Tamandua tetradactyla: one gene and its partners. The protein of the gene in region 2 interacts with the protein of the main gene of each other region in a pairwise test. Links are inferred from orthologs where the notes say so. Each region holds a gene or a part of one and is shown on either strand. Other genes may lie near its edges. The genes, in order: HABP4, CHD3, PTN and IMMT.

The links.
Region 1: the proteins of CHD3 (region 2) and HABP4 interact in a two-hybrid assay, tested with the Homo sapiens proteins (3 studies listed by BioGRID and IntAct). The link is inferred for Tamandua tetradactyla from reciprocal best matches to the Homo sapiens genes CHD3 and HABP4.
Region 3: the proteins of CHD3 (region 2) and PTN interact in a two-hybrid assay, tested with the Homo sapiens proteins (2 studies listed by BioGRID and IntAct). The link is inferred for Tamandua tetradactyla from reciprocal best matches to the Homo sapiens genes CHD3 and PTN.
Region 4: the proteins of CHD3 (region 2) and IMMT interact in a two-hybrid assay, tested with the Homo sapiens proteins (2 studies listed by BioGRID and IntAct). The link is inferred for Tamandua tetradactyla from reciprocal best matches to the Homo sapiens genes CHD3 and IMMT.

What each region holds. Positions count from the first base shown.
Region 1 is NC_135328.1:123,551,431-123,558,503, reverse strand, and holds the start of HABP4 (intracellular hyaluronan-binding protein 4), read right to left. Parts: upstream 3,002-7,073; 5' UTR 2,885-3,001; coding exon 2,530-2,884; intron 1-2,529. UniProt on the Homo sapiens protein: Ribosome-binding protein that promotes ribosome hibernation, a process during which ribosomes are stabilized in an inactive state and preserved from proteasomal degradation.
Region 2 is NC_135332.1:61,727,378-61,734,827, reverse strand, and holds the start of CHD3 (chromodomain-helicase-DNA-binding protein 3), read right to left. Parts: upstream 3,004-7,450; 5' UTR 2,977-3,003; coding exon 2,694-2,976; intron 2,613-2,693; exon of another isoform or gene 2,525-2,612; intron 1-2,524.
Region 3 is NC_135327.1:180,237,423-180,245,125, forward strand, and holds the start of PTN (pleiotrophin), read right to left. Parts: upstream 3,021-7,703; 5' UTR 2,714-3,020; intron 1-2,713.
Region 4 is NC_135343.1:61,150,876-61,158,628, reverse strand, and holds the start of IMMT (MICOS complex subunit MIC60), read right to left. Parts: upstream 3,004-7,753; 5' UTR 2,796-3,003; coding exon 2,751-2,795; intron 2,435-2,750; exon of another isoform or gene 2,294-2,434; intron 1-2,293. UniProt on the Homo sapiens protein: Component of the MICOS complex, a large protein complex of the mitochondrial inner membrane that plays crucial roles in the maintenance of crista junctions, inner membrane architecture, and formation of contact sites to the outer membrane.

The DNA of each region.
Region 1 (7,073 bases), on a different chromosome or scaffold from region 2:
ATATGTTAACAATGACAATTTTTGACATTTACCTGTTGTGAAAATATAAAAGTAGTTATTCTAATACATTTCCTGTCTACAACTTGTAGTTTTTAACATTTCTATTCAACTACAGAATTACAGAAGCTTATCCCACATTCTTTCTGCTTCCTCCAAGTCATTTTCTTCTTACTATATCAATTGGGACATCAGTATTCAACACTTAAAATGCAACATTTATTGTACATTTTATATTAAAGTTTCTTCCAAACTATGGAACAAACTGTGGACTTTTAAGTAAAAATTGGCTATTAAAATAATTTTATCATCAATACCCTGTAAACATTTCATTCTCCCTCCAGCACCCCCCCAAAAGAAAAATACTAGGGTTCAATTAATTTTTTCATAACTTAGTGTTAAGAGATCACAAATGGCACTGAACCTAGTCTGTTTGTTTTTTGCTAGATCAGCAGCTCCAAGTGGATAATGCAAGCTCTTCATTTCACTGACCCTTTCTAATAAAAAGCTGGCACTAATCTAAACCCAAGCCCAAGTGAAGGGACAAAATACAATAAAACTGAGTGAGGTTTTTACAAAATAAAAGTGAGCTTTGGCTCAAAGATCAGAGTTCTGAAAGGAAAAGCAAAGCTGAAGCTGCCTCTGTTGACCTGAAGTATGAACTTATTTTCCAAGGCTCACTCAAGGGTCTACGTATATTGTTAGACAGGTGGTCAAGGATATTAAAACCTAAGTCTTCATGGGAAAACTTTCATTTCTACATCCTCTTGGGATTAATGTTTCACTTTCATGTCGAAAAAAAAGTTCTACGTGTGCTAGGTTATAATGTCAAGTAAAGAAGCAGGTTCCTGCCCAATTTAAACTAAGTGAAAAAAAAAGTTCTGTGAACTCACATATATAGATGCAAGCTGTTAATAGTAGGGAAAATAAACGATTTTCACTTTACTTCATACATTTCTGAATTGCTCAAAATTTTTATAACAAAATATATGACTAATATTTTTTTAAAAAGTAAAATGAAATATATTAACAGATACCGTTAAATGCAGTTTCATACTATTTTAAAGGAAAGAATGAGTATTTTCACATGTTAGAAACGGGGAGAGGAAAAAATTAGCCTTCCTCAAATCTTTAGTTTATAACTCTGATTGCTATCTATCCTCACTTACATTTAAGAGAGAAATATAGAACATAACACAAAACGTAAAATATATCTCAAGTCTCACTCACTGTTTAAATAGGCTCATGAACTTACCGGCCTAACAAGAAGTCCTGAGATACCCAAGAGCAATTTTGGGAATTTTCAACATCTTTATTGTAATGACCCGATTTTCTGATTCTCAAGTGACACTTCAGGACTCAACTTTCCAGATAAAGTTAAATCATCACCTAGTTCCTAAAGTTAATGCTCTATACTTACACCTACAGGCATTCTCTCAATAATCTAACGCACAATTTCTATCAAGAAAGGAACAAATCAGTAAACCGAGTTGAACACACTATACATCCTAACGTTAACTATTTTTGCTGCAAACCTCAGGACCATTGCCTTATTTCAGAAAAACAAAGGAAACGCAGGTGGTTTTCTTAAGGCACTGCTGTCACTTCGGTGAGGGAGATGAATTCTGAAGTACACTCCCTGTATGCAGACAGTAGCTCTCCAAGCTCTTCCCCAGCCCTTCTTGCTAAACAGGGCGTAGGGAGGCTCCAGCATTATTGTTCACATTAAAGACGGTATCCTGAGAGTAGCCCAGAGTTAATGACGAGTTACACATCCCATCAACATACGTGATGTACTTAAAACTGATGCTTGCTGACTTCTGGAAGCTACCGAGTGGGGTTGTGCGAGGGCTGAGCGTGGAAGAAGCCGGGGATCCCGCGTCCAGCACCGCGGCCCTGACGTCACAGGGCGGCCCCCCGCGGGCACCTCGGCCTTCCCTCCATCACAGAGGCCTGGAGGCCCCTCGCCTCGGCCTCCCTGCGACTCCTCTTGCCCCCCTTTCCCCCACCTTCTCCTAGAGGGGCGCCCCTTCCTCCCCCTCAAGCTTCTCTTTTTGCCTCCAGAACTGAACCTTGCGGAGGTCGTGCTGGAGAAGGAAGATGGTCTCTGCTAGCTCTCGAGTTGACAGCTCCGGGACAGGAGCCCCCAGTTTTCGCCCCACACACATTACCCCAGCAATATTTGTCAACTTTGTGCAACTCGTCCTAAAGCCTCAGTTTCGGGGCTTCGAGACACCCCCTCCCCCACCTGCAAGCCTCCACCCCTTCCCTATCAATAAAACGGGGTGGGAAAGGCCTGAAGGGGCGGGACACCACCACCCACTTGGGTCTTCTTTTCCTATCCACAACCACAGGGACTCTCAAATTCGACCCAGCTCTTCCCAGGGCTCCCTCCCTTTTCTGGGTCGTGGTTCCAGTGACCCAATCTCACAGTGGGGGTCCAGGGGCGGCTGGGGCAGGATGACCTCCGTGACCCCAGCTCCTTCCCTTCCCGCCCCCCACGCCTACCGGGGGCACCCAGGGACCGCGTACCGGGCGGCTGCGGGCCGCCCCCGGGGCTGTCCGTCTGCTGCGCGCCGGGGGCCGGGAGGCTCTTGCGCTCCTTCTGGGACTCCCTCCGGACGCCGCCCGCGCCGGGTCTGTGGCCCGAGGCCCCGGCGGGGCTCCTGCCGCCGCGGTTGCCAGCCCCGGCCGCCGCCGCCTCGTCGCGCCGCTTGCGCTGCAGCTGCTGCTGGCGCCGGCGCTCGGCCTCGCGCAGGATGTCGAACGGGTCCGACTCGTCGTCCAGCAGCTGGTGGAAGCGGTTGGCCACGACGCAGCCGAAACTCTCCTGCATCGTGGCGCCGGCGGCGGCCGCGGCCACGGGGCTCCCCAGAGCGCCCTTCATGCCTCCGCGGCCACTGCGGGCCCGCCGCGGGCAGCCCACGCGAACTAGTCTCAGCGAAGCCGGCGGCGAGGACCCATCCCGCCCGCCGCCACAGCCACCCTCCCTAACCCGCCCGCTTCCCTGCCCGCCGGACGCCCGCCCCCGCGCCGCAGCCCCTGCAACCTGCCCAACCACCGCCCGACAGCCAATCAGATCACTCGGACACGCCCCCTTGCCTCGCCGGCGAGCCTGGAAGCCCAATCGCCGGCCGGCCGCTGTCACGTCATGCGCACTCTCTGCCCCTCCCCCTCCGATTCCGCGGAGGGTTGGGGCCCTGGCTAAGGGGCGGAGCTACTGGGAGGAGAAAGGGAGGTGGGCAGTCCAGGGGCGGGGAGGTGCGAATAGCCCCTTGCAGGTGTTCTCTGGGACACTGGTTCTACATTCGTTATCGACCACTCTGAGGTTTATATTCATTTAGCCACTCAGCAACTATTTATTGAGCACTTACTGTGTGCCAGGCTTGATGTTGTAGGAGATACTAGCTCCGTGTCTTCTGCAGACTGAGAAAAAGTTGCTCTGAAGGAAAATCACAGTGTTCTCCACGGGCAAAAGAACCTGACCTGATTATGAAGTCTGGAAAGGCATACCTTAGGAAGTGAGTGAAAAAGAGAGAGAGAGAGAGAGAAGAAAGAAAAAATGGTGGTGCTACTCCTAAAGGAATAGAGCCTTGAAAGAGGCCAGTTTAGTGAGAATCATTTAGTTCAATCTTGAACATTTTGAGGTTTGATATAGTCAGTTGCTGGAGTTCAGAGGAAAGCCCTGGCCTGGACTCCCTTCAGGAAATCATGCCTGGACACCTATGGCAGACACTCTTGGCTGCCTGTTTTATAGCCATTCCTGTCCCTCTTCCATATTTCCAGCACTTGTATTTTGTTTGGGCATCATTAAGTTGAGCTCCTTTCCAGCCTCAAGCATGATTAATCGTAAATCATGCGTTATAGTACCACCCCCTTGCCAGTAATTGGTGCAGGAATAGGCTAATACGAAATATGAAGTCCCGAATTGCATCACTGGCCTGTCTTGAGTCACGTGCACAACTTTGACCCAGTTGCTATACTGAGGGGCATATAATTAATTCTCTGATCAGCCAGTCCTGGGTCACACCCAAGCTTAGAGTCTGAGTGAAGTCAGCTCTCCTGAACCACAGGTAGTGAGGGTGCAGGTAAGGTGATTTCCCCAAGGAAAAGAAGGTTTCTAGTTCCGAAAGGGAAGGGTTGATGCTACACAGGTTAACAAATTATTCCATGTAGGTGATGATTAGCCTGAACAACATTATTGGTACATCTCATAGCATTTGACTGTTTTTGCCCTGAATTATAATTATTTCTCCTTACTTCTCCTCCCTAAGGCCAGAAATCTTAGCTAATTCATTCTATATCCTTTCCCTCCCTTCTTTCTGTCCTCATTCTCAGTGCCTGGAAAGGTACCTTTCATTCAGGGAATAATTGTATGAATGAATGAATTTCATATTTGTATACATATGCTTTTTTTTAATTTTTTATTTTTATTTTTTTATTAACGGAAAGAAAAAAAAAAGAAATTAACACAACATTTAGAAATCATACCGTTCTACATATGCACTCAGTAATTCTTAACATCATCACATAGATGCATGATCATTGTTTCTTAGTACATTTGCATCGGTTTAGAGGAACTAGCAACACAACAGAAAAAGATATAAAATGTTAATATAAAGAAAAGAAATAAAAGTAGTAATAATAGTAAAAAACAACAACAAACAAACAAACAAGCAAACAAAAACAAAAAAAAACCCTATAGCTCAGATGCAGCTTCATTCAGTGTTTTAACATGATTACTTTACAATTAGGTATTATTGTGCTGTCCATTTTTGAGTTTTTGTATCTAGTCCTGTTGCACAGTCTGTATCCCTTCAGCTTCAATTACCCATTGTCTTACCCTGTTTCTAACTCCTGCTGAACTCTGTTACCAATGACATATTTCAAGTTTATTCTCGAATGTCCGTTCACATCAGTGGGACCATACAGTATTTGTCCTTTAGTTTTTGGCTGACATATGCTTTTTTTAAAAAAACATACAAGATTAAAAATATGTTCATAAAGTATACAGTTAGCAATTCAGAGAAATGTCCTAGCATTGGCAGGCTCTTCCCAGGAACAACAGGACTTAACTGTTTGGCTTTTTTTTTTTTTTTCCTGGTTCTCATGTATTCAGTTTAAATGGCAAAGAAAATTTTCTATACTGGCGCGCATGAGACTTTTCCTCCTAAAATTCAGAATTTTTCTGAGCAATTTCCTTTCACTGTTTGTAAGTCCTGTACCTCTAGCATAAAGACACATCTTACTCTTACTGGTATACATATGCTCTTGACAGATAATTTTTATGTGTTAAAATTAAATTCCATATTCTATTAATATGGCTGTTATTTTAAAAACAGAAAATAGAAGTGTCAGCAAAAATGTGGAAAAACAGGAAGCTTTGTACTTTGCAGTGAGGATGTAAAATGGTACAGCTGCTGTGGAAAACAGTGGCTCAGATACCACCGCCACTCACCTTCCACTGGGAAGTCCTTTAGTCACATGCCCTTTGACAAACTCTCAGTGTTAACAGTTCATGGCCCTCCAGTCACAAGATTAAGGAAAATGAGTTGGGAAAGGCTACATACAGTAAGGAGAGAATTTTTGATGAGAACTTTGATGAATGATTAAGCCATCCCAAGGAAAACTACATATATGGAAAGAGTCACAGGTATGAGATCAGAAAAGTCAGGTTAATTAGAGTGCACTTTGTGTGTAGAATTGCAAAAACTGGGGCTATACAGATTGTATTAGTTAGGGTTCTCTAGAGAAACAGAATCAACAGGGAACACTTGCAAATATAAAATTTATGAAAGTGTCTCACGTGACCGTAGGAATGCAGAGTCCAAAATCCACAGGGCAGGCTGCGAAGCCGATGACTCCGATGGATGGCCTGGATGAACTCCACAGGAGAGGCTCACCAGCCAAAGCAGGAATGGAATCTGTCTCCTCTGAGTCCTCCTTAAAAGGCTTCCCATGATTGTATTTACATCACTAATTGCAGAAGACACTCCCCTTTGGTTGATTACAAATGGAATCAGCTGTGGATGTAGCTGACGTGATCATGACCTAATCCTATGAAATGTCCTCATTGCAACAGACAGGCCAGCGCTTGCCCAATCAGATGAACAGGTACCACAACTTGGCCAAGTTGACACCTGTCCCTAACCATGACACAGATAGATAGGAGTTTGTCCTTTAATGACCTACTATGCCTCCTGTGCTGTTTTAAAACTGTCTTGTACCCCTGAAAAGTCAAGTTCTTTAACCCTCATTCGGTATTGTGGAGTGGGATCTTTTTACTGTTTCCATGGAGATGTGACCCACCCAATTGTGGGTAGTAACTTTTGATTAGACGGTGTCATGGTCAGGTTCATGTGTCAACTTGGCCAAGTGGTGGTACCGGTTTGTCTGGTTGGGCAAGTGCTGGCCTGTCTGTTACAATGAGGACATTTCAGTGAATTAAATTATGATCACATCAGCTGCATCCACAGCTGATTCCATTTGTAATCAGCCAAGGAGAGTGTCTTCTGCAATGAGTGACGCTTAATCTAATCACTGGAAGACTTTTAAGGAGGATTCAGAAGAGACAGGCTCTCTTACTGCTTTGGAGTTAGTCTAGACCTCCATCAGAATCATTGGCTTCACATCCTGCCCTGCGGATTTTGGACTCTGCATTCTGATGGTCACATGAGACACTTGTATAAATTTTATGTTTCTGAGTGTTCCCTGTTGATTCTGTTTCTCTAGAGAACCCTAACTAATACAACTTGGTACCAGGAGTGGGGTCGAGTCCAGGGGCTCCCACTCCCTTCCACCTGCTGGTGACTGTGGACAGGAACCTGAGTCTGCCTGGCAGAACCAGCAAGTGACCACTAGTTGGGACTCCTTGGCCTGCCATCTGGGCCCCCCTGGCCCCCCTCGACCTCCATCAGTTCCTCCCCCCTCCTCAGCTGCCATGGACAACCTGGCCTCCTGGCTCACCCTTGAGCTGCACAGGCCCCCAGCCCACTCTGACAGCAGCTCCTCTGGGTCTGCGCCTGCTGCTGCATCTTGGGACTGGTGGGGCTCATGTGCTCTCAAGGTGACGGAGG
Region 2 (7,450 bases):
GAGGAGGAGGAGTCTCTGAACAGGCCTCGCCTCCAGCCCGCCCCTCTCTCCTTCTAATCTCACCATCAATCTCTCACACATATATTTATTTTTTCTCAAATTCTCCTCCCTCCCCCACAACGAGCCACCATAATAGGTCTGTTGCACATGCGTATTGCACGCAGGGGGTGGGTTTGTATTTTCAGGCCTTTTGCAAAGAAACTACCAGAATTTTCCGCACCACCCACAATCATTCCCCACCCCCACCCCCAAGGAATCACATCTATATATTATGTTATATTATTTCTCTAGACTTGCCAGAAGGGGGAGGGAGAAGAAATGAGTTTTGGCTTCCTGCTCCCTTCCCCCAACAGCACGAGTGCTATTATTTTAAACGTTTAACAATGTAAGGAGACTGGAAAGAGGGGGAAGGGATAAAATTGGTCTTGGGTAAGAACGTAAAACAAAATGGTGAGAAAGCAGTCAGAGTGAAAAAACAATGGAAACCTCTAATATGTACAAATTCATATTCTAGAAAAGGATGAACAAGGGCAACCTGAACAAATTTCCTTAGAGGGTTATTTTCCCCACACTTAAACTGAAATAAGCAGACTAAAAATATTTTCCCAAAGTTTTACCTCACAAAGTCATCTGAGGGGGTGTATCTGGGTCACTCATTTGACTTGGAGGGCTGAAAAGGGACAAAAGAAAATTGCCCTGGGAAGGAGGGGAGGTGAACTTTCATTACAAACATTAAATTTTAAAACCAGTTGACATTTCTTCTCATCTATTCAGAAACCGAAGAAGGAAAGGGGGAAGGGAGTATTGACACAAAGACCCAGCTCAATCTTAGATTCTTTCAGGCTCTTCTCTTGCACATATCCAAATTCCGCTTCAAAAAAGCACAATTACCACCTTCCAAGCTGAGAATCCAAGTGGGTGCGAGCTACCAATGCCCTAACCAAACATGACATCCTACACCCCCACCTCCCACCGCCCTTTTTAGCACCTCTGTCGTTTTCAAGCCGCCCCCCCCCCCCTTTATTCCTTTTCCCTCACACAAAATCACAGTAGACCGGCTGGGAAAGTTCGTAAAAACTTTTCCTTTTCACAGAAGACCAGGCCAAAAAATTACTCTCCTGTTTCCCTGAGACACAACAGCCCCCTCCCCACCCTCCCCCCAACTCCGAAAGTTCGACACAATCCTTCAAAGTTTGTCTCAACCAGGCAGCAACGTTTGCCACATAAGCCTCAATGATCAAATATAACAGTTTTTACAACTGTTATATTTGTGTGTGTGTGTGTGTGTGTGTGTGTGTGTATATATATATATAAAATACTGAGAATGATATTAGACATTTTGAAGTTTGGTGCATTTGTGCTGCATGGCATCCAGAGGTGTGGCTGTCCCCCTTTCGTTCCCCAAGCAGGGGGTGTGAGCACAGTGATGCTCACTTAGAAGACTAGAAATAACCTAACTCCACGGCGAGGTGTCTCTGAGTGGGGCTACCACTGGGCGCCTGGAGAGAGACAGCCGAGGAAACCGTCTGTCCCCTCTACCACCCGTGGACTTGCCCAGGGATGCCAGGTGACTTGTCACCTCGAGCGAGGGGTGCTGAGTAGTGGTAAAGCTCCAGAACAGCTGGGTGGGCAGTTCACGCCCCCAACGTGGTCAGGGTGTGGATGGTTTCAGCGCGAAAGTGAGTGACAGGGGATGGCAGCCACGTGAGAGTCACAGCTGGGCAGCTCGGCCACCCCAGACTGATGGGGTCATGGTGGAGGGGGAAGGCGCACTTGACACAAAGAGCCCAGAGCAGGGGAGAGATGAAGGGGTGGAGTTGGGGGCTTTTAGTTGTCCCAGGCACTCTCTTCGGACTCCCCAATCTTAAGTGTCTGCTGTTTCGATTCCAAACTCGGGCGGGGGTGGGGGTGTGTGTGACCAAGTCCTATTCCAGGAAGTGGTCTGCGTGGAGTGTGGCCACCACCCGCCCCTACTTATCAGCCGCCCACAAACATCCACACGACCCCTCCCCCACGTGCCACCGCAGTCCCCAGAGTTGGCGGGCACCAAAGTCCCCGCAGGTGGGGGGTTCGAAAGCCACCGTCCCCACTCTGCCTTCCCAACTCCTGACGGGAGGGGGTTAGGGCCAAAGTCTGCTCCACCCGCGGAAACCCCATTTTCCCTCGGTCCAACCCCACCGGGGCCCGGACCCGAGGGGCGCTCGCGCGGCCGCCCCTCCCCCACGCGCCCCTCCCCCACGCCGCCGTCCGGCCGCCAGGGTCTCCGCGGTCCCTAGTTCGGCCAGGGAGGGGGCCCTGGCTTCGCCTCGGCCGTTTCCTGCCTACCCCCTCCCCGCTGAGGGTAAAAAAAATAAAAATCTCCTCCTCCTCCTCCCCCGAAAGCCGCGACCGAGTGGCCGGGTCCGCGCGCGCAGCTCGCGCCCAGCGCTCTCCAGCCGGGGCGGCGGCGGCGGCGGCGGCGGCGGCGGCGGCGGGGGAGGGGTGCGGGGGGAGGGGAGGAGGCCTGGCCCCGCGGCGGCCGCCGCCGCTGCCCGCCCGGACCGCCCGGACCGCCGGGGGCGACGGGCCAAGACGGCGCCCGGCGCCCGGATTCGCCTCGGCTCGGCCGCGCGGTGGGTGCCTCGCCCCCGGCCGGCCTAGCTAGCCCGCCCGCGGCGCCCACACGGGGCTGGGGGTTCGCGGCGGCGGCTTACCTGGCGGCGGGGGCGGCGGCGGCGGCGGCGGCGGGGGCAGCGGGGGCGGCGGCGGCGGCGGCGGCGCGAAGAGGTGGCAGCCGGGGGGGCTGTGGCGGTCGCGGCCCCGGTAGTGGCCCGGCCCGCGCCCGAGCACTCCTTCGTCGTCGTCTTCTTCATCGTCCTCGTCGGCCGCCTCCACCTCCTCCTCCTCCTCGTCGCCCTCTTCTTCCTCCTCTTCTTCCTCCTCCGACACCACCATCTCCTCCTCCTCCTCCTCCTCGTCCCTCAGAGGGGAAGCCATCCTGTGGCTCTGGCCCCCCCACCACCCCCCCACCCACCGCCCGCCCGCCTCCCCCACCGCTACCACCACCACCACCTCCTCCTCCTCCTCCTCCTCCTCCTCCTCCTCCTCCTCCTCCTCCTCGGCGGCGTCCTCCTCCTCACCGCCTCCCCCAGCCCCCCAAACCCCCGGGCCACCCCCCGCCGAAACCCCCACCCTCGGGGCCGCCGTCTGAGGAGGGAGGCTAAACCACCCCCAAAATTTTCTTGGAAAAAATTGACTTTTCCCCCCTCTGTCTTTCCTCCCAAGAGAACAAGAAAGGGGGATTAAAATATATATATATATATATATATAAAAGTTTTCGACTTCTCTCTACCCCCCTCTCCGTTGCTTTTAAATATATTTAAATTCTGAGGGGGGCGCTCAGAAATATTTCTTAGAGCTGAGGCACTAAGATGGCCGCCTTGAAATTATTTTTAAAACAACCCCCCCTTTCCAGGACCGCCACCCCCTCCATAAAGAAAGGGAGAGGGGGGTAAAAATCCCCTTTTAAAACAAAATGGCTGGCTTAATATTTCATTTTTCACCCCCCCATTCTCCTCTCTATTCACCCCCATCTCCAAGCCTCTACCCAGAAACCCACAAATTTCTCCCTTTTTTCATAACTGATTAGTGCACAGATTAATAGAGATATTTTCCTTGTGTACTGAAGTGTGTGTGTGTGTGTGTTGGGGGGGCATGAAGGATTTCTGCATAAAACAAAAATGGCTGCTGACTTACTCCCCCCTTATAAAAAATATTTGAGGGGGGGGCATTAATCAGTACTCATGCTCAGTCTGACATCAGCATAAATTGTTAAAGGTTAACTAGTTAGATACTAGTCCAACTAGATTTAATTTTTTTTTCTTTTCTTTACTAGTCTCTTCCTCCCCACCTCCCTTCTGTAAAGAAAAGCTTTTTTTTTTTTCTGAATACTTCAGAAGGGAGTGGTTTGATGTGAAGGTTTTTTCCCCTTCAGGCATTGAAAAGGAAAAAGATGAAATATATGTTTATATATAATTCTGTTTCTACATACCTCGTTGACGTTAAAACGCATTTAATTGTGTACGTATGTTTTAAGTGAGAATCAGTATTGGATTTTTTCCTTCTTTCTTTAAAAAAAGTAATAGAATTTCTAGTGACTTTTGGGGGAAAGATATGAATAGATTCGATGATTGAGTTTTTTTCAAAGGAGTCCATGTTTGATTCTCCCCTTTGCCCAGCCTTTTCAGTGATTTATCTTTGTTGTAAATTTTATCTATACTCTTTTTCCTCTTTCACCCTCCCCTCCCGGAATTGCTTGAATGTAAATTTTTACTTGGGAAATTAACTTGGGGTGTAAATGGAACTGATTTTTAGAATAAAGGGAAAAGAATCAAGTCTGAAGATTGTGAAATTATTTTCTCTTTTCTCCCATTTCAGTATGTATTTCCTTCCTCCATGATCTCCAACACTTACAAAGTGGAAGAAACTGAGGTACTATGAAAGAGAAAAGTCACCGGGACTCAGAGAAGGACAGAGGTAGGGGTTACACTCAGGCGTTTCATCTGATGTTCTAACCCATGATTTCCACCACTATCCCAGTGTTTATCTTTAAATAGTACCAGGAATCAAATGGAAGGTTGGAAAGGAATCCAAAAGTGGCTTCCTGATCTAGACATCAGAGAGGTCCAGACATAAAACTTGCCAGTTGGAGGTGGAGTGACACCATCCCTCTACCTTTAACACCAAGAAGCAATGCTAAGTAAAGGAAGAAGGAGGAGAGATTAGTTGTACCCTTTTTCATTCTTGTCACCCTTTTCTCACTCTAGTTTCCTGCCATTCTTTTCCTCTCACTTTGCCCCTTTTCTTGCTTCCCATCCCATGCCTCTGGAATCATTTTTCTCCAGGATTATTTCTCTGTCTCTTAAGTAGAGCTGCGTCCCTAACCAGCCTCTGCAGTGCTCAGGAGCACTCTTAAAGGCAGGGGTCAGTAGGCAGCAGGCAGAAAGTATTAGTGAAAGAAAATAATATGCACATTTTTGCTGAAGAGGCTAAAATGTTATCAAGGACCCACTGCTTTCCCCAAACACACTTTACTGAACAATGGTTTCTATCTTTTTCTTAACTGGAATCCCCTTGCCTCTCCTCCCATATTCCTGTACTGAGTCCTACTGGTCTTCTTCCAATAGATTTTGTTCTCCTTTCCTCTTTCACAGTTTCTCAGTCCTAGTCCATTTAGGTATCCCTGCCTCATTCTGTACATGGGCTTTTTTGTATGTACATCTTTTTACTGAAACGGTCTTCTTCATCCCCATGCTTCTTAGGTTCTGTCACCTCTAAGTAACTTTCCATCTCTGTCTTAATTTAATTTTGCCTTCCGGTCTCTGCTTGTGTGTGCCTGTTCCTCATGTGTGCCTGCCTCCCCCTCTTTCTGGCCCCCTGTGTGTGTCTGGAAGTGTCTCCACATGTATTTGGGCCACACAGTACATCGTGTGCACTGCAATCCCTCTACCTCTGTGACACCCTCCATTTCTGGCAAGTACCTCTGCCGGCTTGCCACATGTGCCCTGATTTGCAGGTGTGGGTGGCTGAAGCTGGTTTTCTAGGTGGCTGTGTAACATCCCTGTACAAACATTTGTCACTCTCTCTTGAGTATGCTTTGCATCTGGATCTGTTCGCTTGCCTGATTGTCCCTCTCCTTGTCCTTCTCCCCCTCTGCCAGCCTGTATCTTTCTTTTGGATTCTTTTTTCCTCCCTACTGACCTCTTGATTTTTCTTCCTCCTATCCTTGTTTCCACCTGCTTCTCTCCCTCTACCTGGTTGCTCCAATTATGGTGTCTGCCTGCCTGCCTGTCTGCTCCTCCCTGGCTTCCTGGCAGCCTCTTTCTCTCTCTGGTTGTCTGTCTGCTTCTCTGGCTGTTTGCCCGCCACTCTCTCTCTAGCCATCTGTCTCCCTGACTGCCTATCTCTGTCACTTTTTTAGCCTGCTTTCCTTGGTCTGTCTACCTTCTAGACTTCACCATGGTTCCCTTTCTCAATTTGTTTCTTATCTTGTTCTTCTGTCTACTTGCTTCTCTTATTTATACCAGTTAAATTCATGATTTTTCCTTGCTTCCCTTTTATGTCTATCTTCTTGTCTGTCTACCCTACTTGTCTGCTGGTATTCCACTGTTTAATGCTTGTGTCTTTTAGTCTTTCTGCTTTTCAGCTTTTCCTCTCTTGACTTTCTCCTCTTTGTCAACATCCCACTAATGACAATGGTCTCTCTTCCCCAAACTCAAAGTGCTCCCTCTTCCTAAAGTCTTATTTACCTTCCTGCCATATGCTTTCTCTTACCACCTGCCTTCATTCTCAATTACCTCTTTCTTTTTGATGTCCTGGTTACTCAGGCAGTTAGTCTGCCTGCCTCCATTTTTTTGCCATTTTCCTGGTCTTTGCTATCTTCCCGCCTCCTTTTTGCTGACTCCCTGCCTGGCTCTTGCTCTCCTCATCTCTGCTTAGTTTTCTTTTTTCCAATCAACTTTTGAATAACTAATACATACATAAGGTACAAAATTTTTAAAGAACAAAGGTATGCTGTGAAAAGTAAACCTCCCTCCTGTCCCTCTTCACCCCCGCCTCCAGGTCCTTTCCCCAGAGGCAGCAGCTATTTCACATTTCTTGGATATTGTTCCATCGAAGAGCCTTTACACACACAAGTCTACTTTCTTTTCACTTCTCTCCCAGTTCGGTTGGATGATTGTTCCCCTGTCTGTCATGAGTCGTTCCTGCTTTGGTGGACTGGCCGTCTCTTACGTCTTGTCTTTTTGATTGACTAGTTGCTGGTTTCATGCTTTTGGTACCAGGTCCTGAGGAGAGCTCAGGAAAGGCTTGCTTTCTCTTAATCACCTTTTCTACTCTACATTGTAACTTGTCTTAATGAGAGCCCAGCTTTGTTGGTCTCTTCATCATTGAAGTATGTATTAATTGAGAAAAGACAGGAAAGCATGGTTAGACTAAAAAATGACATATAAATATAGTTTCTGTTATTAAGTACAGGTAGTTTATAAATTGAACTGTCACTAATACATAGAGTAGGTGAGGCCTGCCCTGCTTTTCCTACTCAGTTTATGTGAATTCTTTAAGGCATATGAATCTAAATCCTTGTAAGTACAGCAGCACCCTTCGGCTATTGACCGAATCCTGCCCAAGAAGTTGTCTTCTTCTTACTTTAAAAAATCTTGCTTCTTAAACTTTTATCCTTCTGGCTCATCTCACATCCCACCTTAGAGATTTTATAATTCCTTGGGGGAAGAAAAGATAAAGCCTCCATGTATTTAGGTCTCTTTCAGAAGGATGATAAAACTTCTGTACACAACATACTGTTCTTTCATTTCTTGCTTGTTTTTTTAATTCCTGAATATAACTGTTTCAGTCTCTGTATCTCACTTTTCTCTTCCTCTCTTACATCTCTTTGCTTGATTTTGTTTTTTGT
Region 3 (7,703 bases), on a different chromosome or scaffold from region 2:
TTATAGAGAAGGCATCACCATCAAAACAATGGAGCCAAAGTATTCAGAGAACTGAAACCCTGGTCTGGTGATCTGGAGCCAACCAGAGTTTAAACTGGGTTGAAGTGTGCTCTGGCGATCTAGAAACCGAACCCATTTAGTCTTAGATCACTGAAAGTGTCCTCAACTTGGACATTATCTTCAGGACATAGGGCAATGATAACTCCCCTTATTCCCATGCCACCAAGTTAAGAAGCATAAGTTTATAGAGAACTGGAATTTATATTCTAAATTCTGAATTCTGGTCCTCAATCTACCATTAATTTATTGCACCCATTTGAACAAACTGGCTAACTTCCGTTTCCTGGGAAAATCTGAGTAGTAATGAAAGCATCACACCACAAATCAGACTATGACCAGAATTCATGTGAGAATGACATTTAAATGAAAAAGCAGTAGATTCGCCAAAGAGAGAATATTTAATTACAATATTTAATTTCTAAAGTTGATTTGATTCTTGGAAATGGTTAAAATATTTGGGGACCTTATTTCGTTTTTAGACCATTTCCAATGATCAGGTTTTCTGAAAATTCAAATCAGGCACTGGCATTACTAGAGTTAATATATACATATATATATATTTTTAAGTGTCCATAATTTGCAAGAGTCCTGCTACATGTTGCTACATGTGAAGATGGAATAAGGTACATGAAAACTTTCAGTAAATTAATAGATCCAAATCTCCTGGGAAGAGGTCTAAGTAATCACACAATTACATTTTAGATTGTACTATAAAATGTATATATTTATATACATTTATTATATTATCCAGATTGTCTAAGTACATCACATTAAATTCAGCTCATAGAAGTCATATGATAACAATAATTTCATTTCCTACTACTGAGAAAATAATGCGTTTGTTTCCCCAAGCAAACAGCTGGAACACAGTACCTAATGCCGTTACAAATGGCTTTAAGTGGGTATCCCTCATAGAAGCCTTCCACTAAATCAGGAAAAGAAAGTGCTAAATGGGATCTGTGAACAGTGGAAAAGGAAAAAATTGCCTTCCAAATGGTTAAAGAACAGCAAGATATCTCTTCAAGTACAAAAATTCTCAAAAGAATAGCATTAGTTGCTTAATCTTAAAAAAATTATCATCTTATTTAACTGAGAAAGTACAAATATTGCTATTCTGAGATAACTCATGCCAAAGGGAGAGGGAAAAGAGATCATGTCCACTCTATTTTCCTTCAAACTAACAGGATTGTGAGTGTTTTTAATGATTTGGTCTTTAAAGGGCATAATTTGCTTTAGAAGGAGCATACTAAAGATGAAATATAAAAGCTTCATTATCCACATTGTGAAACTTCTCTTTTGTTTCACTCCATTTGCCTTTTAATACTTACACATATCAACATGTCCTCAGATGATCAAGGGACAAAAATTGGTTGTACTATTTCGTCAAGTCCACATTTGCCTAGGATCACAAAACTGGTTCATTATGTTATTAGTTCAAAAGAGCTCCTTGGTAGTTTCTTGATCTCCTCCCTACCCTACCCTCCAGCACACACACACACACGCATGCGTGTGCAACCATGCACATGCACACGCATACACTCCACATCTTTCTTAAGCTCCTTAAGCAAAATGTCTAGATGACCCTTAAAATGAAATGCTGAAAGGCTAGAATTTTGTTTCCCTCAAATTCTTCATTCTCCTCTCCCACTTCTCTTCCTGATTCCACTCCTATATTCTCAAGATATCCTCAAAGTTACAAAGAAGCTGTTAACAGAGATAGGAGTGAATGAACAAAAGAATGTATATAAACTCTGTGTGTGTGTGTGTGTGTGTGTGCGTGTGTGTGTGTGTGGTGTGTTAAGGAGAAAGCATGTGAGCACGTTAAGGAAAGAAAGCTCTGTATTCGATGTGTTCAGTAGAGAAGACGTTGAACACACTCCTCTATTTTAAGTAATTTTGGCTTATTAGAAGCATCATCTCTGATAGAAGCTGTAAGTATCTGGCAAATTAGGAATAAATGTATCCTAGGTCCATGTGGGTGAAATAGAAAGTTCAAGTGTCTGTGCCCTGCAGTTATTAAAGTTAACATTGAAATGAGGGATGGGATTCAAGGTGGCTCATTTAAACCTAGGACTTACCTATTCCTAGCACCCTTTCTGGGCTGGCAGGCAGGGCGCACAGTGCTCAGTTCAGCTGGCACTGGGAGGTCCTCACACCCTACCTAGAAATGCCAGCTAAGAATCATCAGTTGGCAAGCCCCAGGGGCAATCAGAAGCAGAAAAGAATGAAAAATGAGACCCGCCTGCTCAGGCCGCCTCTCTTCTCTATCCAGCCACAGACACACCTACTAAAGCATTAGGTTTTGCAAAGAGCCAAAAAGCATTCCTCCAACCCACCCTGGCATATTCTACAGCTGCTAGCAGAAACACCGCCCAAATGAATGCAAAACATTACAAAAGCTTCTTTCTTGCCACTCATCTAAATGTACCCTAACTATCCTGACCTAAATCCCCCAAATTTGCTTTAATTTGCCTGTGCATCCGGTTCAGTTTAGAAAGCAATTTTAGCAAAGACACCAGGTAGCCCCTCTCCCATCTACCACCATAATCTGGCGACGCTCAGAAAAGTGGGCAGGGGTGAAGAGAAAATGAACTCCAAGACGCCACAAAAAAAAAAAAAAAAAAAAAAAAATCGCACATTCCCTTTCACTTACTTTGAGTTGCAAATGTTCTCTCCCGCGCTCAGGCTGCCTTTGTTGGAAGGGGCGAGGTTTTCCGCTCCCGGAGTCCAGGTACGGGACTCGCTGCTGCTCCCGCCGGCTGCTGCTGCCTTCGCTCGCTGCTGGACTACTGACTCACTGGTCTCTCTCTTTTTCTTTTCTCCTCTCCCCACTTTGGATTTTCCTCCGTTCTGGAACTCCCTTGGCGGGATTTTTGGACTGGAAGGCGGGGAACCTGATCCTGCCTTGGACTCAAGTACTCCCTGACAGGGAGTGAACGGAAAGGAAATGGAGAATGGGAGGGATGAGAGGGACGGGCAGAGATTACGCGGGCCGGGCTAGGGAGGGAGAGCGCGGTTGAGAGCTGATTGGGAGTTTATTAAAAGGAGAATACTCCAGGGGCCGTCTCTCCCCTACACGAGCAAGAAAGCGGATTTGAAGGAATAGGTGATGAGATGTAACATTGTTTTGTTTTGTTTTTGTTAGCAAAGAAAATGCACCCCGTATTTCTTTTCTAAACTTCAAGCATTAGCTATTTTTTTTGGAGGAGTAGATACCCCAGTTTACAGAGTAGGCTGTCTTGAGTATAAAATCGATGGCATTTCAAGTTACAATATTGGCCCCTTTAGAAGCAAATGATTTGGAGGATGAAAATGCGCACTCTTAAAATCCTGGCTTTTCATTTCTGCAGATTCCCTTCCTACACGTGTAACAAGTCCTAGTTTCCTCGAATGTCAGTCCCATTACATGTTCACTCACCTGCATGTCACAAAATGTGCAAGGTACTTTTCTGTGCTTGTCACAAAGAATGGCAGATGCCTGAAAATTCCCAATTAAGTGTCACTTTCCTTTAGGGGACTCTTTCTCCTTTTGAATTGCTTGGTACCTTTACTGACCTATTTAGGGACATGCCTTTGACACCCAGACATTAGGGATTAATCAATGTAACTCAAACTCTGTGGTTTGTCTAACTCAGAGCCTGGGTTTCATGGCTCTCTGGAATTCCCATCTCCTTCAGTTAAAGGAAGATTCTAAGGTGATTAATCTAGAATTGTTTTAGTGATACAAAAAATGAATGTGATAAAAATGAGATATTGTGTAAAATGCTTAAGAATTATAAAACAAATTTACACAAACATTCTCAAAATATAAAAAGGGCAATTTTTCTTCCATTCATCAGTTGTTGCTTCCTGCTTCTTGCATCACATTTTCACATCCTTCAGTTTACCGTTTGATGGTGTACACCCCAAATGCAGTTGTAAAATATCCTTCCATTTCCCATAGATCAGAGATTACATCTCCTTAAGTCAATTTCAAAAATATGTATTATGTACCTCATTTAACTCTTAAACACTTAGAATCATTCTTAAACCCCCCAAATTTGAAGAATTGTTTTGTAGCAAGTAGTTTTTAGGGACTCCTGAGCCTTTATATTGACTGGTTATCTGGATGAGTGCCTCATAGAGTAGCTGTCTGGGTAGAATTTTTAATAAGTAAATAAGTGAAGCTTTTTTTTGTCTTTTTAAGAGAAGGATAAGCAATTCATTTGCACGCCTCCAGTCTATCTCCATAACCAACTTCTCCAAATATACTCTTGTGATTGTTAACGTCAAATGTCAACGTGTCTGGGTCATGGTATCCAGTTGTTTTGTCAAGCAAGCACTGGCCTGATTGTTGTTGTGACGGTATTTGATAGATGAGTTAGCATCTGTTGTCAGTTAATTGCATCTAACTCTGACTGCATCTACAAGCAACAAAAGAGATAACTTTCAGCAACAAGGGAGGCTCCTCATCCAATCAGTTGAAGGTCTTAAAAGCCAGAACTGAGATTTCAGAAGTTAAAAGGAATGTCTACCTCTACTTCAACCAGCTAGCTTCCTCTAGGGAATTCAGTTTCACATTCATTGGAGTTTCCAACTTGCATCTTGACCTGCAAAATACAGACTTGCTAATCTCTATAGTTGCATGACCAATTCCTATGATAAACTTATTCTGCTTCTCTGGAGAACCTTAATACAGCCCACCCTATCTTCAAATGAAATAAATAAGGAACTAACTGCTTTCCTCTATACACAGTTTTCAGGTTGCCTATTTTCCTTTTGTGATTCCATTTTCCTGATGAAGCAAGCAATGCTTGCTTTAATGTAATTTCATTAAATTAAATTGTGGAAGAATCACATTGTTATTTTTTAATACTTTTTCCAGGTCCTTCCTTAAAAGGACTTCTCAACATTTCCTGTCAGTCCCTAGAGGTGGAGTTTCCAGGCCATTAAACAGAGGGTTGTCTATTTCCTTTTACTTCTTAAACTTTTTCTGAGCATCTACAAAGATAACCTGTTGCTACCAGGTGAACAATGTTAGCTTTATTGTGGTGTTCCCTATAGGGCTGATAAAGTAAGTATGAGATTCCCAAAGCCTTCTGCTCAATTATATGTATTCTATCAAAATATACCTCTATTCAAATAGGTATCATAAAATTTATTTACATCATTGATTTTCACTTGGTATGTTTGCCCTCCAGGAGACATTTGGCAAAGGTTGGAGACATTTTTGATTGTCACAGCTGCAACTTGGTGGGGAGGTGCTACTAGTATGCACAGGCTAGAGGTGCTACCAAATATCCTACAAGTAACAGAGAATTATTTGACCCAAGATATTAATAGGGTTGAGATTGAGAAACCCTAACTAATGTTATTAATCACTGAATTTTAAAAATGTAAAGAAAGATTCAAGAGTTGTTTTTTGAAAGAAATAGAAATCTGTAAAATTGAGATTAATACTAATTTCATTCAATCCATGGTTTATGGAGAATTTAAGTAGAGCATTAATTTAAATGCCCTCTGAATGTTCAATCTCAAATCCACACTTCATTCTATTCCATAGTCACGGCTCTTTTGTTTTAAGATTTCAAGTTGTTCAGTCATTTCACCAACATTCTTTGAGCACTTATTACATTTTTGTGCATTGGTAAGACTCATGAATAAAAAAAACTAAAAAATTACTTGTTTCATATAACTTACTTTTTTTCATTGTTTTCTTTATTAGAGAAGTTGTGGGTTTACAGAACAATTGTGGATAAAATATAGAATTTCCATATACTGTACCATCACCAACACCTTGCATCAGTGTGGAACATTTGTTACAATTAATGATAGCACATTTTTATAATTGTACTACTAAATAAAGTCCATGGGTTAACTTGTGTAGTGTAGTTCCATGTTTGTTTGTTTTTATAATTCTGTTACCATATGTACATTCTAACATTTCTCCTTTAAATAATATTCAGATATATATTTTAGTGTTGTTAGTTGTCTTCACAATATTGTGCTACCATCACCACCATCTGTTACTAAAATATTTCCATCATTCCAAATAGGAACCACGTATATTTTAAGTCCTGGCTTCTCATTCCCTATTCCCACCTTGTCTCCTGGTAACCTACAGTCTATGAGTTTGCTTATTTTGTTTCAAATCAACGAGACCATACAATATTTGTCCTTTTGTGTCTGCCTTATTTCACTCAACATGATGTCTTTAAGGTTTATCTTTGTAGTGTACATTAAAGATGTGATATGCTTCACGGAAAAAATAAGATACTGAAGATTAAATAAGAATTAAATAAAAATGCAGATTTGGGGGAGGAAAGACTCCCTGGGGTGAAATTGGAGTGAAGGCTTACAAAAGTTGAGGTGACAAGCCAAGCAAGTATTTGGGAGAAGAGTCTCTAGACTGCAGGATCAGTGAATGTAAAGGCCTTGAGTCCAGACCTTGCCTGGTGTCTTAGAGAAACTGTAAGGAGACCATTGTAGCTGGAATCCAATGGCTGAGGAGGAGTTTGGGAGAAGGTGAGGTTGGGGAGTTGACAGACCAGATCATGCTCAGCCTTTGGCCACTGTAAGAAATATACATTTTTTCTGATTGAAATGGGGGCTTTGGGTAGAGGATTAAAAAAGCCTGACTCCATTTCACAAAGTCTCTGATGTGTTGAGAGTAGAGCACATGAGGTCAAGGGTGAAAGCACAGATCCTAGCTGGGAGACTGTTGCAATCATGCCTTGTCCAAATATCTTCCCCTTGTTCCTATAGTTTACCCGTTAACATTTTCTCTGTCCCCAAAATTTCCTGTCAGAAGTTATTTTGGCTTCCTAATGCTTGGTCTTTCCAGGTACAATTAATGAGGCCCTTGCATAAGAGTTTCCAGACTAAAATATAACTAATATAAGATGATTCAAAATCATAGAAATTATAACATGTCCTAAGGCTGTGTTGAAAATGAGGCTGCTAATTTTACGGTGACAAATACAAGGAGAAGTGTGATCAGCATGAAGTTAAAAAAATGTTAAGAAACATGTTGAAAAATTTGTCATTGTGTCTCTTGGATTGCCTGCTTGGCAGAAAATTCAGATTCTTGATTATCGCTCTGGGTTCTTCAATATCCCTAGAATGCAAAAGGGCAATTCATCAAGCTATCATAGTTTGATAATATTCTCATTAATTCATTTCTCTTTCTCTCCCTGAAATATTTCAAATTTAATAACTTTGCTGTGACCAGATTATAAAACCTACTTCTCTCTTAGCTATATTTTTGTAATATGTATGCTGTTTTTTGATTGGAAATAAAAAAACAACTAAAACTAGTTTAAATAAGTCAGGAATTTATCTCACTTAAAATATAGGTGGATGAAGTCTGTATTTCAGTCTTCAAGGACGTAGGTCTTTCCATCTTTTAACTTTGCATTTCAGTTTTTGATCTAGGACTCCTTGGGATGGTTACAAGAAACTTCAGGCATATTCGATTACAGTAAACAAGGCCAAACTCTAGTAGAGTATAGGTTTGCTTCCCTAGTCAGGTAGCCAAATAAAATTATACTAGAAAAAGGAAGAGGTGGAAAGGATCTGGGAAACAATGAACAATGCCTGCTAAAATTTCTCCCTGTAATTTAATACATTTGCAGTTCATCAGTCTCTGAATAATCTAAGTAACT
Region 4 (7,753 bases), on a different chromosome or scaffold from region 2:
TCCAAAGCTATGGGGGAAAGGAGGTAACATTCACTTATGGAGAATAAGAAAAATTGATGGAACACATTCATTCTTTCATCCAAGCATGCCACAAGCATTTATTGAGCACCTACTTGGAGCCAAGTACTGTAATACCTATTCTAGGTACTGGAAATACAGCAGTGAACAAGATGGACACAGTCCCTTTGAGGTCCCTTTGAGGTCCCTTTGAGGAGCTTACAATTTAATGGGGGAAACATGCAACAAATATACATTATAACTTTAGGTAGTAGTAAGAGCTACAAAGTAAAAGAAAGGTAAGAACAGAGTGATACAAGAAGGACTGAGTGGTAACAAAGTCTGTTGAAGAAATAATAGGAAGGAAAGCCTCTCTGAGAAGGTTGAGAAAAATAAGCTGAATGAAGAGAGCAAGCTAAGCACAGCTGTGTAGGTAGACTTCCCAGCAAAAGAAACAACAAATGAAAAGACAGGCATGTGCTAGAGATATCAGTGGTATAGTGTGAGGAAGAGTAGAAAAGATATGCAAGAAGCCAGATCACGAAGGGCCAGGTGGGCGTGATCAGGTGTTTAGAATTTATTCTGAGTGTGAAGAGATGTGAAGGGCAGGTATGATCTATATGCTTTTTAAAAGCCTTTACTAACCACTATGTAATAAACTGACAGTAGAAAGCAAGATAAAAAGTAGGAAACATTTTAAATTATGGGATGAAAAGGATTTTAACAAGTGGAATATTCTGGGTAAAGCCGGAAAATTAAAACAAGAATTCAGAAATTTGAGTATAAAGCTCAAAAGAGAACAGAAGAGTGTCATCTGATTAGGGGTTAAAGTTCTGAGAACTGATATAACTCCAAGTATGAGAGTATATAAAGATAAGCAATGAGACTCAGTAAAAGAAACACAGAAAAGAGATGAAGGGTAAAATGGGCCCCAAAACGTTGTGTGAGAGAAGCCAAGAGTTTTATAAAGCAACAATATCAAATGCTGCAGAATGACGGAGGTGAGTGTGAGAATAAACCAACGCATTTTACAAGTTAACAATTTGAAGGTTAGAAGTTTTAACTGAGAGCTTCAGGGTTCACTTTAAAGTTTTAATCACTTTTCTTATTTCCTAATTGGGATCCCAATAAGCAGAAAGTATTTTGATAAAAGTAACAAAAGGAAAAAGTAATTTTGGAGTTTAGGTAAGACAGTCTAGATCAATGACAGCCAAGATGTAAACAGAGAGCAAAATGAGAAAAGGTGTGCCATAACTAGGGCTTTGTGGCAAAAAGAAAAAAAAAGGGTGGGGGGCAGATTTTGCAGATGCAATACAGGTTACTAATAAACTGACTTTAAGTTAATCAATTAGGATGTTATCCAACTGAGCCCGAACTAATCACATAAGCTCTTTAAATTAGGGTCTGAGGTAAGAATCAGGAAAAGAGAGATTCTAAAGTCAGAGAGACAAGTTACTATTGGCCTGGAAGAAAGCAAACATCCATGTTATAAACTCCCTATGGGAGTTTCAAAGCAGGAATTGTCAGCAGCCTCTGACAATAGTTGCAGGGAAACAGGAGTCAATCTTACAGCTGCAAGGAACTGAATTTTGCCAACAAACTTAATAAACTTGCAAGAGGATACTCAGCTCTAAACAAGAACATACCACAGCTAACACTTTAACTGCAGCCACGTATGGACCCTGAGCTGAGACCCCAGCTCAGTCAGTCACGCCCAAACTTTTAATCTACAGAAATTGTACGAAAAACATGGGCATTGTTTTGAGCTGTTAATTTATTAAGCAACAACTGAAAATTAATACAGCCACACTTTCACACAGAAAAGGCTGCTTCTCTTTTCCACGGCAACAAATGCAGAAAGACACAAACCTGGAGGGAAGCAAAAACAAAAATCAAAGTTTGACTTTTATGTCCTCTCTCTCCGTAGGCCTACAGATTTTGTTCAATTACTGCAACACATCTCACTGAACTACCAATCCGCAGTAAACTCTGAACAATGGAAATAGCCCTACTTTAAAAAAAAAAAAAAGTAATGTTAGTAAGTTACTTTGATTACTCATGAAAACTTAAAGTGGTTTGGTGTCTAGGCTCCTTGAACGTCGGTCAAAGTTATGTCAGCACCTGGAGACACAGGCTAACCTTAGACCTCAAATCAAGGTCATGACTCCCATCCTTTCTCCATTAACAGGAGTTTGGGCTCCAAAAGCTAGACTCTTTCAACTCTGCTTAGAGTAAGAATAGCTCCCAGGTATTCTCTGTTGGGAAAGAAGGGCAGTCCCTCCCGGGTAATTACAACCTTGAGCCCAGCAGTTGTAGGCACCTGCTCACTGCGGCAGCACCCAGGATGGGCCACCGCAAGTGCTGCTGGGAACGGTAGTCCAGCCCTCCGACCTTCACCTAGCCGCGCGCGTCCAACCCGCGACGGCGAGCCATAGCCGGGATTGGGTCGTGACTGGGCCGACACGGGGTTGATTGGACCGCACAGCCCGAAGCCCCGCCTAGCCCTGTGCCCGCCTCCCCGCCACTTAGCCACACCGCCGGCTTCAACGATAACCCTCGGGTCTCCAGTCACCCCAGTCGGTGGACTCCCGAATTCACTGCCGCACCAGCCCCTCCCGAAATGCTCGCTAGGAGGGCGGCCCTTAGACGCGCGTCGAGCCGGGGCCTACGCAGCGCCAAAGCCACCCCAACTTTCCGTTAGCGGCCCCGAGTCATTCGCCTCCGGGGCTCTCTCCCAGAGCCCCTGTATTCACCTGGGCGGCGGCGGTCACGCCGGACAATTGACAGACCCGCAGCATCTCGTTGGCCGGGTGAACAGCGCGGCTGGAGTACTAGACAGCTATCGGGGCGGTGCGCCTAAGGGAAGGCGTGTGGGCAACAGGGCGGCGTGCGTGCGTACGTCCGGCGCCCCTCCGCGCCGCAGTCACCGGAAGACCGACCAACGTCCCTGCGCACACGCAGCTCCATGCCCCGCCCCTTGCCGATAGAATGGGCTAACTCGGAAGCGGGGCTGTAGAGGAGATTACGAGTCGGAGACGATTGGTGGAAGGAGGCGGAAAGGGCGACTTTTGTTTCCGGGTTACGTGCGGCTCCAGCTCTGTAGCCCCTCGCTGAATACGGATAGGTCTGACACTGCAGAGAATTAAAGCAAGGAAGCTCAGCGGTGTTTGTCAGCTGAATATTTCGTAGAAACGAATCGGTTTGGCCAGACTTACTTAAACAATGCTTTTGTCTCGGTTTGCGTATGTTTCGCTTGACAGCCCTTCAGGGATTTACCCTGACTGCAGGAGATGGGTGAACTGGATGGACTGTTGTGCAGAACGTATTGTTCACGTTATCTAGTGTCAGGGCAGGGGTAATAATCTGTATGGTCGGACTCCACAGCTTCTACTCCTTCTAGATTGAGCCTCTCACCGGTTTCTCCATCAAGTTTTAATTTCAAGAGGGTGATTTTGACCGGGTCTGTGGAGTAGATTAGAAGATAAGGAGGTCAGTGCAGACGCACTGTTGTGCAAAGTATACCGCTGAATCTATAATCAAACTACGACATTAAATATTGAACGTGGCATTCATTACTACTAGTAGTATTAATCTTATAATCAGAACATTATCGAAACTAAGTTATCTGACAAGTATCTTTGGTTTATCTAATAAATAGCCTGTGTCGTGTATTCAAATTCTTTCTAGTCTTAACTAGGTAATTGATGACATAGTATCCTACCCAAAGGTAAAGAGCAATACTACTCCCTTTTGTAAAATGGAGAAATGGATTTTAAAATTATCTAAAATCAAATAATTACTTACATTTGCGTATATCTTATGCTATCAGGGTGCTTTAGTAATTGCATTTTATCTCTGTTATGCATCTTTGCCACCCAACAACTACAGAGTGTTTTCCCAAGTTCCTAAGTAACTTTAGTGACTGAATCATGATCTGTCCGTCTCTGTCCCTCTTCATCACTGTCAGGCTTGGGTAGTGCCATTTCGATTACTCTTCTGACATCCTGGCTTTGAACTTCTTAGTGCCATTGAGCAATTTCATTCAGCCCTATCCATGTATGGGACAGCCATATCTTGGGTTTGAACATCATTAGTGACCCTTCTGAAGTTAAGATCTCAAACCCCCATTTAGCCTCTCACTTATTTCCTACCCTTTTACTTACCCTTTCTCTCAAGTCCTTAATCTCACAATCCACATGGAATTTTTCAGATCTATTCATTGTTATGCTTTAAAATATTATCAGTACACACCGATGTTCATAGTGGCATTATTCACAATTGCCAAAAGATGGAAGCAACCCGTGTCCATCAACCAATGAATGAATAAATAAAATGTGATATGTACATACAATGAAATATTACTCAGCCATAAAAAAGAAATGAAATCCTAATTCCTGTGACAACATGAAAAGCCCAGAAGACATCATGTTGAGTGAAATAAACCAGACTCAAGAAGGCAAATATTGTTTGATTTCACTGATATTGAAGAATTAGAATAAGCAAATCATAGAATCAGAATCTAGGGATGGGGTGGGAATAGGGAATGAAAAGTTAAGGCTTAAAATATACAGGGTTCTTGGGTGAACCACCGTGGCTCAGTGGCAGAATTCTTGTCTTCCATGGTGGAGACCCAGGTTCAATTCCCTGTGCCTGGCCATGCAAAAGAAAGAAAAAAAAAAAAAATATATATATATATATATATATATATATATATATATATATATATACACACAGGATTCCTGTTGGGAGTGATGGATATGTTTACATAGTGGTTGGTGGTGATGTTAGTGCAACTTTTTTTTACTTTTTTTGTGAAAAATAACACATATACAAAAAATTTGAAAGCACATCACAACAATTAGTTGTAGAACAAATTTCAGATTTTGTTATGGGTTACCATTTCACAATTTTAGGTTTTTACTTCTAACTGCTCTAAGATACTGTAGACTAAAAGAAATATCAATATAATAATCCAGCAATCGCATTTACTAAACCCTACCTTCTCTGTATAACTCTACCATAACTGTTGATCTTTCTCTCACTCTTAAGGGGTATTTGGGCTGTGCCCATTGTAACTTTTTCATGTTGGAAGGGGCTATCAATAATATGGGATAGGGAGACAGAATTAACTGATGTTCTGGAGAGGTTGGCCCCTCTGCATTTCAGGATTTATCTGGTTCAGGGACCCATCTGGAGGTTGTAGGTTTCTGCAAAGTTACTGTACTACATAGAACCTTTGTAGAATCTTATATAACACCCTAGGGGTTCTTTAGGATTGGCAGAGTTGGGAGTTGGCAAGTTATTTTAGGTAGCAATGTTTAACTAAAACTTGCATAAATGTGATCTCCAGGGTAGCCTCTCTCAGCTGCTGAGACCTGATTTGTTAAACTTCTTTTCTCCCTTGTGATCAGGATGGCATTGTTGATCCCATGGTGCCATGGCCAGGTTCATCTCTGGGAGTCATCTCCCGTGTCACCAGGGAGACTTTCACCCCTGGATGTCATGTGCCACATAGTGGGAGAGGACAATGATTTCACTTGCAGAGTTGGCCTTAGAGAGAGAGAGGCCACATCTGAGCTTCATGGAAAGCCTTTCAATCCATTGTTTCTCACCCACGGGGAAAACTGACACAGGAGACTCTTTCCTTCTGACAGGAGGCCAGTTTGGTATGAGAAAATCTGACTGGTATAATACCTAAGTAGACCCTCCTAAGGGGAAAAAAAGGCACCATACAGGCAGGGCAAGAAACAAGAAAACAAGAACTGAAAAATTCTCATCTGTTAAACAAAACTTAAGCTAGAGGTGTGGACTAAGCTGAACTGAAGGTCAAAGAACAGATAGACAAAGTCATCCAAGAAAATTCTAGGTAAGAAAAAGTGAAAACAATCTCCAGAATAAACTAATTAAGTAAATTAAATGCCTAGACACCAGCAAAAAATAACGAATCATACTAGGAAAATTGAAAATATGACCCAGTCAAAGGAACAAACCAAGAATTCAAATGAGATACAGGAGTTGAAACAATTAATTCAGAATGTTCGAACAGACATGGAAACCCTCAACAAAAATCAAATAAAAGAATTGAGGGAGGATATAAAGAAGGCAAGGAATGAACAAATAGAAGAAATCAAAAGTCTGAAAAAACAAATCACAGAACTTATGGAAATAAAAGGCACAGTAGAAGAGTAAAAAAAAAATGGAAACCTACAATGTTAGACTTCAAGAGGCAGAAGATAGGATTAGTGAACTGGAGGGCAGGACATCTGAAATCTGACAAGCAAAAGAAAATATAGTGAAAAGAATGGAAAAATATGAATAGGGACTCAGGGAATTCAATGAGAACATGAAGTGCACAGATATACATGTAGTGGGTATCCCTGAAGGAAAAGAAAAGGGAAAAGGAGGAGAAAAACTAATGCAGGAAATTGCCACTGAAAATTTTGCAACTCTTATGAAAGATTTAAAATTACAGATCCAAGAGGTGTAGTGTACCCCAAACAGAATAGATCCAAATAGACATACTCCAAGACATTTACTAATCAGAATGTCAAAGAGAAAGAGAGAATCTTGAAAGCATCAAGACAAAAGCAATCCATCACATGCAAGGGAAGCTCAATAAGGCTATGCATAGATTTCTTGGCAGAAACCATGGAGGCAAGAAGACAGTGGGATGATATATTTAAGATACTAAAGCAGAAACACTACCAACCACTAATTCTATATCCAGCAAAGTTGTCCTTCAAAAATGAGGGGGAAATTAAAACATTTTCAGACAAAAAAAATCACTGAGAGAATTTGTGACCAAGAGACCAGCACTGCAAGAACTACTAAAGGGAGTACTAGAGACAGATAGGAAAAGTCAGGAGAGAGAGGTGTGGTGAAGAGTGTAGAAATGAAGACAATCAGCAAAGGTAAAGAGAAGAAAAATTAGGTATAATATATAAAATCCAAAAGGCAAAATGGTAAAAGAAAGTACTGCCCTTACAGTAATAACACTAAATGTTAATGGATTAAACTCTGCAATCAAAAGACATAGACTGGCAGAATAGATTAAAAAACAGGATCCATCTATATGCTGTCTACAGAAGACGCATCTTAGACCCAAGGATAAGCATAGGTTGAAAGTGAAATATTGGGAAAAGATATTTCATGCAAACAACAATCAGAAAAGAGTAGAAGTAATTATACTAATAGCCAACAAGTAGGCTTCCAATTTAAAACAATTAAAAGAGACAAAGAAGGACACTATGTATTAATAAAAGGAATAATTCAACAAGACATAACAATCATAAATATTTATGCACTGAGCCGGAGTGCTCCAAAATACATGAGGCAAATGCTGAAAAGAGAAATAGATACATCTAGTATAATAGTTGGAGACTTCAATTCTCCACTCTCATCAATGGACAGAACATCTAGACAGAGAATAAAATATTTAGGAATAAATTTAACTAAAGAGACAAGAGACCTATATGAAGAAAACTATAAGAATTTTTTAAAAGAAATCACAGAAGACCTAAATAAATGGAAGGGCATACTGTGTTCAGGATTGGAGAGTATTTGAATATTACAATAAATGAGCTAGACTTAACAGATATTTATAGAACGTTACGCCCCACAACAGCAGGATACACCTTTTTTTTTCAAGTGCTTATAGATCATTCTCAAGGATAGACCATATGCTGGGTCACAAAGCAAGTCTCAATAAATTTAAAAAGATTGAAATAATACAAAACACTTTCTCATATCATAAAGG